Linked DNA regions of Tribolium castaneum. The protein of the gene in region 3 binds, or shares a complex with, the protein of the main gene of each other region. Links are inferred from orthologs where the notes say so. Each region holds a gene or a part of one and is shown on either strand. Other genes may lie near its edges. The genes, in order: Pp4-19C, serine/threonine-protein phosphatase 4 regulatory subunit 4 and serine/threonine-protein phosphatase 4 regulatory subunit 1.

Evidence for each region.
Region 1: serine/threonine-protein phosphatase 4 regulatory subunit 1 (region 3) and Pp4-19C share a complex: the UniProt entries of both Homo sapiens proteins name them as parts of the PP4 complex. The link is inferred for Tribolium castaneum from reciprocal best matches to the Homo sapiens genes PPP4R1 and PPP4C.
Region 2: serine/threonine-protein phosphatase 4 regulatory subunit 1 (region 3) and serine/threonine-protein phosphatase 4 regulatory subunit 4 share a complex: the UniProt entries of both Homo sapiens proteins name them as parts of the PP4 complex. The link is inferred for Tribolium castaneum from reciprocal best matches to the Homo sapiens genes PPP4R1 and PPP4R4.

Annotation. Positions count from the first base shown.
Region 1 is NC_087401.1:11,679,149-11,682,896, reverse strand, and holds Pp4-19C (serine/threonine-protein phosphatase 4 catalytic subunit), read left to right. Parts: upstream 1-969; 5' UTR 970-1,123; exon of another isoform or gene 1,124-1,148; intron 1,149-1,274; 5' UTR 1,275-1,279; coding exon 1,280-1,429; intron 1,430-1,483; coding exon 1,484-1,636; intron 1,637-1,688; coding exon 1,689-1,989; intron 1,990-2,104; coding exon 2,105-2,294; intron 2,295-2,759; coding exon 2,760-2,889; 3' UTR 2,890-3,144; downstream 3,145-3,748. Other genes in the region: Flo2 (flotillin-2), read right to left, coding at 696-744; protein suppressor of forked, read left to right, coding at 3,701-3,724. UniProt on the Homo sapiens protein: Protein phosphatase that is involved in many processes such as microtubule organization at centrosomes, maturation of spliceosomal snRNPs, apoptosis, DNA repair, tumor necrosis factor (TNF)-alpha signaling, activation of c-Jun N-terminal kinase MAPK8, regulation of histone acetylation, DNA damage checkpoint signaling, NF-kappa-B activation and cell migration.
Region 2 is NC_087394.1:13,858,092-13,861,603, reverse strand, and holds the end of serine/threonine-protein phosphatase 4 regulatory subunit 4, read right to left. Parts: coding exon 2,849-3,512; intron 731-2,848; coding exon 700-730; 3' UTR 621-699; downstream 1-620. Other genes in the region: haloacid dehalogenase-like hydrolase domain-containing protein 2, read left to right, coding at 441-611. UniProt on the Homo sapiens protein: Putative regulatory subunit of serine/threonine-protein phosphatase 4.
Region 3 is NC_087394.1:36,828,235-36,831,890, reverse strand, and holds part of serine/threonine-protein phosphatase 4 regulatory subunit 1, read left to right. Parts: intron 1-1,288; coding exon 1,289-1,401; intron 1,402-3,656. UniProt on the Homo sapiens protein: Regulatory subunit of serine/threonine-protein phosphatase 4. May play a role in regulation of cell division in renal glomeruli. The PPP4C-PPP4R1 PP4 complex may play a role in dephosphorylation and regulation of HDAC3.

The DNA.
Region 1 (3,748 bases), on a different chromosome or scaffold from region 3:
AGCACCACTGCTTAAAGAGCGATTTACACTAGCCGATTATGTCCGACTTACACCACGGAAAAAAGACTGGAATGACTGACTTTTTGGCCATTAATTTTCAAAAAAATTGTAACCAGAAGACTGTCTTTTATTTTTTAATTCTAGTAGTTACAATCACGATCATGTTATACCACTGCAGTAAACAGTAAATAAACATATGCAAGGTTGTTCCAGATAGGTACGCCCATTGTAAAACAACAACAAACAGGCACACCAACCAAACACAATACAAATGTCAAAGGTCAAATAGTAGAGCACTTAAATTTTATTGCAGTTAGGCAATAAATGAAACACATGATTAGCGGGAATTGTTGAAAACAATTTATGACTAAGAAAAAATCTTCTTTTGATAATACTTAATTAATAAAATAACACATTTTTGTCATATTAAAAAAACAAGTTATTAATAAATCTCTAAACCGGTAAAGATGAGACGTTAATTATTGAAACGTAGTTTTTGTATCTCACTATCAATAATACTACAATTAAAAAGTTATTTTTATGGTCGGGAATTCTATTTATTCTTATCAACAACTAACGATTCACCTTGAAAATACCCCAAAAGACCCCAGATTTTGCATGCAGGTACCCCAAACCCCGCAAACGCTGTAGTACAGCCCCAGCCACCCTTGTCCAAGCTACCCCAATAAAATTACCTGAAACAATGAGGGCTTCATTCGGTCCCACCGTATGGATATTTCCCATGTCTCCCAACACCTCGGCACCACACACACAGTCACAAACCCTCCACAAAACCCCCTTAAAATTTCAGGTTAAACATGAAAAAACTCCGCTTTAATTTTTTAAGCCGTAATCATACTACGACCTACTGCCTAACGCAGGCGCACCAACTTTATTTAAACAACCCTAAACGCAATTTCTCCCCAATTTAACCGTCCACCGTCGCTTTCCTGCCGAAATAAGGGTTGAGAACGTGCGCAGAGTAGCGTCGGTGGCGACACGACGCCGCCGCTCAATTGACATTTGTGAGTCAGCCAATCGGACGTATGTCTGAGATTAGGGCATCGGGGTGCTGTGATTAGTGGCTTTGGTGGGGGCTTTTTCGAACTTTTATTGGAAAAAGGTACGGAATTTCGCCAGAATTGTGGGTAATTAGCGTTTCGCAATCGTTTGGGTTCAGTTTTGGGGGTTTTTGGTTAAGTTTGGGTGACCTAACCTCAACTTGTTACTTTTTGTTTTCGTTTGACGTTTGAGCTTGGGGGCCCGTGTTTCAGGCACAATGGGCGATACCAGCGATTTAGACCGGCAAATCGAACAGTTGAAAAGGTGCGAAACGATCAAGGAATGCGAGGTTAAGGCGCTGTGTGCGAAAGCTAGGGAAATTCTTGTTGAAGAGAGCAATGTTCAGAGGGTTGATTCCCCGGTTACGGTAAGCGCAGCCCCCGGAAGGGGTCACGGTTTGGTTCATTGTGACTTGCTTCAGGTTTGTGGCGACATACACGGCCAGTTTTACGACCTGAAGGAGCTCTTCAAAGTGGGGGGCGACGTCCCCGAAACGAACTACCTGTTCATGGGGGACTTTGTCGATCGTGGGTTTTACAGTGTTGAGACGTTCCTCCTGCTACTAGCCTTAAAAGTAGTACCGAAAACGTGACGCAACAAGTAAAAATTTACGATCATTTTTTTAGGTTAGGTACCCCGACCGCATCACCTTAATACGAGGCAATCACGAGTCGCGTCAAATAACCCAAGTTTACGGATTTTACGACGAGTGTTTACGCAAATACGGCTCCATAACCGTATGGCGGTATTGCACCGAAATTTTCGATTACCTCTCACTTTCGGCTATCATTGATGGCAAAATTTTCTGTGTTCACGGGGGGCTGTCGCCCTCCATCCAAACCCTAGATCAAATCAGAGTCATCGACCGGAAACAGGAAGTACCACACGACGGACCAATGTGCGACCTGTTATGGAGCGACCCTGAAGGTAATTAATAGCCCCCTTGAGTCGCTCCCAAATTGAAAAAAAAAATTGGTGGCCAAGTTGGCCCCGAAAAATTATATTTGTGTCCAGAGTTAGTCATGAAAAATCAATGTTGTAGATACCCAAGGTTGGGGCGTGTCGCCCCGAGGGGCGGGCTATCTGTTCGGTTCCGACGTCGTGGCCCAGTTTAACGCCGCCAACGACATTGACATGATCTGTCGAGCGCATCAGCTGGTCATGGAGGGCTACAAGTGGCACTTTAACGAGACTGTGCTGACAGTGTGGTCAGCTCCAAATTATTGCTACAGGTAAAATTACCACTGGGAGCGCCACTGAGCTAGGTTGAAAACAGTAACTTCAAATGTCGGGAAATGTTTATTATGATTGTACGAATTTGGAGGCTTTCGTTTTTCTTATGTCTGTATTTTCGAAAAGTGTTTTTATTTCTGATTGCAACGATGTATCACATGATATGATCGAATGCTGGTTAAAATGGAGAAAAAATATTTTTGCGAAGGATGCTTTGGAAAAAACGCCAACAATTTTGTTTTTAAACCTACTAGATTTTGGAGGTTTATTTGAATTTGGATCTAGAAGCTTCACATCACCACCAAGCCTACTTATTTAAAAATTAAACCACATGATAAACAAACTTACTAAACGATACATTAAATTCGTTACTGTTTTCGACGAAATGTCGTCAACAAAGGGCGTCTAGTTTTTTTTTCCAAACTGGGCATTTGGTAAATTTCGGTTATTTTTTGTGTTTGCAGGTGTGGCAACGTTGCCGCAATTTTGGAACTGAACGAGCATCTGCAACGTGATTTTACGATTTTTGAAGCGGCGCCTCAGGAAACTCGAGGCGTGCCATCGAAAAAACCACAAGCTGATTATTTTCTGTAATAGTTTAGTTGTTCTTTTATAATTGTAATATACATATTATACTCTTGGTCATCTGTTAATTCATAATTAATTCATCAGTTGTAGTTACGTATTTTTTCATGGTCTTCAATTATGTTTAAGACAGTTTTTGTTCCAGTTGTCGATTTATCCCTCTATTGACTTCGAAATTCTAAAACTGTACTTATAGTGAATTTATTTATTTAAAACCATGTATTGTACCATTTGCAGACTGCCAAAATACATTTTTTTGTAAAATTTGAGTTTTATTTCAAAGATATTGCAAATTAAAAAAATAATGGCGGCACTGGCAGCCATTTTGGGACGGCTAATTCAAAACCGTACCCATCGCGTGTGTGATAGCTAAGCAAAAAAGCCTTAAAACGTATAATTAAGCTTTGAATTGAAGGTTTCTTAAGTTTTATGTTTCAAAATCGAAATTTGAAGCCTCCAGTCATAAAAAATCATTTTCCATGAAGCAGTAATTCTTTGTAACAAGACACCCCAAGCATTTGTGTCAACCACAAATTACAAAATTTCTGAAGCTCAATTCGTAATCCAAATCAAACAGTTGTTATTCCTATTTACTTATCTGTCTCTCATTGGTTTTATAATTTTTATTTTGGAACAATTCGCGTCTACACGACTTCGTACCATCGGGACGCTTGATTTTGACAGTCGCGGCATCATCAAGCCCAAATATTTTCGTTTTTTCGTGCTTTTTTTACCAAAAATCCGGTGCATAAGCCCTTAAAAACATCCCTTTTATCAATTCAACCCTTCGTGGGCTTCTAGTGCATGAATTGCGTCAACCATGACCGACGAGAGGCTCCACATTGTAAGTTAACCCCAAAACCCCCAA
Region 2 (3,512 bases), about 23 Mb from region 3:
GTAAAATGCGATGTTGGCGTTTTTATAGTTTTGAATCAGCTAAAAAAACACTATTTTAAACAATTTTTGCAAAGATATGGTAGATGCAAAGTAGTATTTCTGAATATTATGTTCTTATAAACCGTAATACCATGTGATTATTTGAATTTATAATTAAAGTAGGCGGTTTTGTGTCTTGTCTACAAGACAATTGCATTGTCTACAACTTTTGTCTGACCTATTTTAATGATAACATTTACCGTTTATGCGAAAAATTGCAAAAACCGAAACTTTTGACTTTAACCTTGAATATTTTTTTTGCACACATGGGATCGATTGGGACTTTTGATATGTTATTTGTAATAGTGTCCTAAAGACCTGTAGAAATTTTCAGCTCTATGCGAATTTTTGCAACTTGCCACTATTTTGATGTCTTTTTAACTGGGTTAATGTGTATTTAGGACGTAACTGATGATGTAGAAGGGGCAATGAAGGCTGGTATCAGGGGATTTTTGGTGCAAACAGGAAAGTATCAACCAGGTGACGAGAAGAAAATTTCCACGCCACCAGATGCCGTCGTGCCTAGTTTTGTTGAAGCAGTAGAAAAAATATTACAGGAAATTAATAAATGAATACCTCGGTATGTTAAGATAATATTTATTAAAATTGTTATAGAAAAACGTACAAAATAGACTTTCTGACAAAGTGTAACAAAATAAATTATTTGCTCTTGATCTCGGACTGTGTTTTCCTGAAACAGAAACATAAATTAAACACATCTCCACTATTTTTATTAAAGCAGTGATAATAAACACACCATAAACTTTCCCACATTTATTTGTTGTTTTATGGTTTTTATCGAGAATGAAATTTAAATGTTTCCCAAAGCGAACTAAAATTTCGTTATAGCGTAGGTTTTCGATATCTCAAGTTCAAGTCTTAAGCATGATAATCACTAAATAAAAAAGTATACGGAGACATTGAAAACATGATGTTTGTTTACTTCTTTTTACTTTCAAGTCAACCAAATGCAATTTCTCTTCTTATTTTCATTTATCTTCTGTTTTTTCAACTTAAAATGCGAATGGGCAAAAAATGATTAAACCAGATGTAGTAATTTTAAAAACGTCCCTTTAACCAAACTGATTACACAAGATAAAACCGAAAACATTTTTTCATGGTAGGATTTTTTTTTATAACAGTTGTCTTCAACTATTCCACTTGAAAAATTCTTTAATATTTCGCGATTTTTCTAACGTACACAGTTAAAATTATTCTAAAAATAGCATCTGTTCTAGTCATCACCTAAATTTGGATGAATGGATAAAAGGTAAGAACAAGAGAAGACGAAAGTTGAAGAAATTGTCTAAAAATAAGATAAAAATGAAGGACTATAAAAACGAATGTATAAAAAGAAAAGGTTCGATTAAGAAAAGAGGAGGAAATTAAAATGAAACAAAGAAATTTGTAGCCGATATCCTAAAAAAAGAATCTAACAAAAAATAAAATAAAGAATTGTAAAATATTACAAATATATTAACAGATATATTGCTAATGCATTACTCAAAGATATTGTAAGATACGTATGACTACTCCAATATTTTTATTGGCATATCAAAAATGTTTACGTGAAATAGAAAAAAGATAGCCTGTGCCCACTGGTATTATTAAATTCGGTTGGAAGAAGATATACAAGAAAAGGAAAAAATACTTAAAAAAATAAATATACTCTTTATAAAGTGGCGCCCAACGTGGGGCCTGGGGCAGTTGTTGCTGATGTTTGCAGTTTGTCAACTCACATTCTGTGCCCTGAGTTGTTGAACAAACGTGTGTATTCAAAAAAAACAAAGAAATGATTTGATCACCAAAAAAGGGGAAATTGGGTTGTTAAAAGAGAAAACCAAAACTGAAAAAAGGAAAATAAGGAACAGATTTTTGGAGAAAAAGAAGAAATTTTGCAGTAAAACGATTTTGAAAATAAAAGAAAAAACAAGTCAATTTCAAAGATTTTTCTGAAGTTGCTTGTCAGTCGAATCTTTAAATATGTTCTCTAAATACAAGTATAACGATACATGTTAATTTTTTATGTATCTAGTGTAAACCAAAATTGAAAAAGAAAAAGAAGGAATTTTAAAGTAGCAACAGATTTTTGGAGAAAAACAAGAAATTTTGAAGTAAAAAATCTTTATATTTTTCTTTACTAAATACGTGTATCATAATACATTTTAATTTTTTATGGATGTATCGATTAAAATTGCATAATGCAGATTAAACTTTCATGAATATGTTTATTTTTTTTAATTGTATTTTAGTTAAAAGTCATTTCTAATTAGAATTATTACAATTATAACTGTAAAAAACTCGTACTCCCATAAAGAGTATTTAAAATGTACCTCCAAGGCATATTTTTATCATAAATAGAAAGTTAGTACCATACTTTTACACAAGACCACATATTTTTACTGTCAGGTAAAGAATCGTTAGTACAAATAATAGTATATCAGTATATCACATAATATACGAAGCACTGACTAGTCAGGGAAATATTAATTTTTATGCCGGTTTCTAAAAAAAATATAATTCTAAACAAAAAAAAGAGAGAACATAGCAGAATGCGACTCTGTTGATGGAACTTTTATGGGCAATGAGTAGGTGTTCCTGACAGTTATACTATAAGCTATTAAAATGAGGTACATTTACATCATTATTTTATTAATTATACATACAAATACTTGTTAAAAAAGTAAACAAGATTAGTTTTTGGGATGTTTAGTTTAACTGAACTTTAACGTTTTTTTTTTGCAAATTATCAACCAATTCATCTACTTAAAATAAGCATGCACAAAAAGCTAAATCTACTAGTACTTACTTTTTCAACACTGGCAATCCTGATGTTTTTCCTTTGTTAATACTACTTATTGGCACATTATTTTTACTAATACTGGAAGTTATTGCACTATCGTCCTTTTGTTTGTCAAGACGTGTTAAAATTTCAGATTTAGGCCTGATTTTACTTTGAGTGGCTTCATTCGGTTTATGTTTCACCTTTCCCGAGGTTCTATTCGCTTTATCGCCATCTCCACATTCAAAAACATGCTCTATATCAGCATTACTGTGTGATTTTTTCACACAAACTGGAATTTTACTTAAATCACCAGCACCTATATTCAGGCTTCTTCTATTCAATGTTGTTTTAGATGTTGAGGAATCGGCTGGGAACACACTCGAATATCTTTTGTATTTCAAGCAGATATCTTTTGGTGGACTTAGAAGTGATTTGCGATTTGTACTTTTCTTACTTCTCTTTCTCAAGTTCACTTTAACATCGTCTGTAATATTGGTGGTTGATGTTTCCAGTTTTTTCAATTCACTTTCAGACATTGCTTCAATGTTAACATTTTCGACAGAGACAGTCGGTATTACGTTCGGATCTTCCGAATATAAATTCAATTGTTGATCGAAATCTGTCACAACTTTGCGTATTTCCATATCTATAGGTTGTTCGATACGCGGTAAGCTTACGCCAGCATCAA
Region 3 (3,656 bases):
CGAAAATAATGACTTCATTTTAATTGCGAACCTGAGCTTTTTCATTTTATTAATTTTTGGAATAACGAAAAAAATATTTTACAAACATCAGCGAAAGGTAAACTAGTAGTGTCATTTGTGTTTTTTTCTTTTTGTTTTATTTTACATCTTTGTTGGTGAAAAAGATACAGCCAGTTTTACTAATTTTATTTTGTGTCTAAATTTGTTAAAACGTGGTCATGAACGCTACAAACATTTTATTAAAATTATCTTTTGCATAATTACGGCAATAACCGTCAGTTATCTGCCAAATTCACCCATTTTTAAACGTGTCTTGTATTAAATCATTATTAAAAATTATATTATTTTACAAGTTACATTTAAGTTACAAGTCAGCAACTCTCTGGGCAGCAACATTACCCTCTTAAATTATCATTTGATTATTGAACATTACAATTTTGTGTCAAACTTTAGTCAACCTTTTATTAAAATTTATATACCTACATAAATTTCAAATGTCTTTGTAAACAAAAAAGACAATTGACAAAAACAAGTAAAAATTAAAAAGTTTTGTGATTTGTCGCAACAAATGAGCTTGAAAACTAAAAATTAGCATTAAGTTTGTTGCTCAAATGTAAAAACCTGCCTTTTTAACACGTAATAATTTTTGCAAGTTTAAAATGTGATTTTTTTGGAGTGAATAAAGGACATTTTGCTATTTTGTGTATTTTTCAAAAGTTATATACCATACGTTTAAACTGAAAAAGAAAAAAATAACCTCGTCGTTTATTGTATTGTTGGTTAAAGAAAAAGTTTCTTTGAAAAAAGTTGACAATAAAGTATTTTTTCGCGAAATTTCCAAATATAAAATTTGCGACGTAGATTACATTATCCTCAGGTCCACGGTCGGCCATCTTAGGCTTGTTTCCGCGGGGCGGAGACTTCGCGACCAATAGAGACGGACACCGCCAACTCCGCTTTCGCTGATCACCGGTTTGTAGTCGGATATCGCAATTACGTATCAGCATTAAAACGTGTGTATGTGTGAATGACTCGACCTTATTGGATATTTCTCGCATTACATATATTATGTTTTGTTTTATTACAATTGAAAAAATGGATTTTTTGAAATACAATTTTTGAAAAATTATAATTCGCGCTTTGGTAAGCATCCAGTGCGCGCGCATCACCACGCTGACTAGGATGTTTAGTTGTTTGGGATGATTTCCCGCCAATTCTTTGTGATGCGTCTTAGTGTACGCCACGTGGTTGTGGTTTTTTTTCTTAACGAAAATGTGTTTGTTTGCAGTAAAATGGTTGCCCGAATTGTTCAAGATTTGTTTCGTACATCACCTCCGGAAATTTTAGCCGAAGAACTTCCGAGTATTATGACCATCGTTCGATCGCTGGGTGAGAAAGATGGTAAGTTTTGTTACAAGTTTTAATGACGTGTTTGAATGGTAGAGAATGTCGTTCTTCGGTTGTTGCCGGCAGCAGGTAGTCATAATTCCGTATAAAATGCGTCACATTTTTTACTAGCCTTGGAAGTGCCTATAATATGTATAAGAATATAATTTACTTTCGTGTGTGGGGGTTATTATCTGATATCAATGGGTAAATTTTCCATGTGATGGTTTAGTTGGATGAATCATTCGGGCGGCAAAAAATTATTATTAGTGGTTGTTTTGAAATTGAAGTAGAAGAAAACTTGCCTAGATTAAAATTATATCTTGGTATTTCCTGCCGATGCATATCTAATTTTTTTTCGTTTCTGGGAAGTGCTCTCACAGCGATACAGTATTTATGGAGAGTACTTGTATTTTAAATTTTAAAACCACGTGTTTGCGTTATAGTAGTTCAAAAACCTAATTATTAGATACTCTAGAAGCGTGCATATAATTTTGATAATGTTTTTATCTGTAATATGGTTTATTAAGATTTATGGGAACTTGCACTTGAATATTTTATTCGAAATTAAAATTCATTAGGCGTCCTAAGCATTATTGACCATTTGTGTGCTTTTATTTTGTATAAAACGGCATATTTTCATTGTCAATGTCGCAAGGTTTCTTGTGGGCAACAGAGTGTATAATCACTTTTTTCCGAATGTTTCAACAAGAAAAAAGGAATACTCTCAATATTTTGTCTAAAATAAACAATAATTTCACTCGTATGAGACCTAAAATTGTGTAAATTCTACGTTTTTTCAATTTTTGAACACTTTACAATAAATTTTGGTCAAAAGTAATGTTAGCATTTCAGCTTTTTTTGTGCCTTTTTTAAGCGCGTTTGTGAGTTTTAAGTCTAATATTTTCCTAGAAGAAACAGAAAAATTACGAATTTTTATACAAGCTTATTTTACTTTTTGTTTGTAAGCACGGAAATGCAATTATTACTCGAAATTTCGAATTTAAACAGCGAAAAGTCACTCAACTATTCACTAACATGGTTGTTATTTTAGACAATTAAAAAAAATTACGTACCTACAATTACATAAAAACACATCGAATTTGATCGAAATTTTATTTTACTGTTTGATAGCTATAAAGAAAAGTAAAATGTTAACAAACTATTCGCTTTTGTAGAATTTTGTTCTAGTTGCGAAGAAAAAATTAAAAAAAATGGATATAAGTTCAAGGAATTCTTAGAAATTCGGATGAAACGAATTCGTCAGTTTTGAATTACAAAACCATACCACGATTGCACGTGTGAGAGATTTGGTTTTTCATTTATTTTTCTATTTTTTCGGACAACAGAAAGACGGTTGAATTACCTAGAATTTGGAATTTGTAAAGATATAATGAATTTCTTTAATTGAAAAGCTGCCTTTGTTTTAATTATTTTACCAACGTTAAGGAGTTGTTGGTATTGTTGTTTTCTTTTTTTATTCAATTTTATAACATTAATCGGGTTTGGGCGAAATTTCGTCAAAATATGCCGAAAAATCGTAATATTTGCTAATAATGTTCTTTTTAAGTTTAGAGATGTCGCTAAAACTAATTGAAAACTCATTTTTTGGTCGCAAAATTCTATTCATACTAAAACGAGGAATCAACAAAATTAGTCCGAAATTAACTGTTTTTCCAGTGGTTAAAACACTAATTTTCTTGAAAAAAATTGTTAAAACTGAAATTTTATCGAAATTTATATTTATTTTATTTTATTTCAGTTTCAGTTTTCAGACTTGAATACTTGGTTATTTTGTAAACGCGCTTCAAAATCATAAAAACAAAATGAAACTGATGTTATTTTGTTTGTTTCACTAGATTTCGTTGTTTTTTGAGCTAAATTTCGTCAAAAATCAGGTGAAAAGTGACAAGATTTATTCGAAAACGCATTTATGCTTTTTTAAGGTTTTATTAAATGCGTTGTTAAGTTTCTTACGCTAATAAACCGAGTCGAAAAGTCAGATAATTGGTCCAAAACTCAAAAAAATGTAATTTTTTCGTATTTAAGACGCTTTTAATGCAGAAACCTAATTATTTCGCAAAAATTGTCAAGAATAAGCCGAGAAATCGTCGAAGAATTTGCAGATTTTTTTTTATATTCTCTTGACGAAACGGTGACGAATTCCGAAATTGTTTTGTTTGTTTCTTTTTCATCTAAACATTAATCCAACAATTTCCAAAAAAAATTCTCTCAATCAAAACTATGTAGTTTACGACCTCTGATGATTT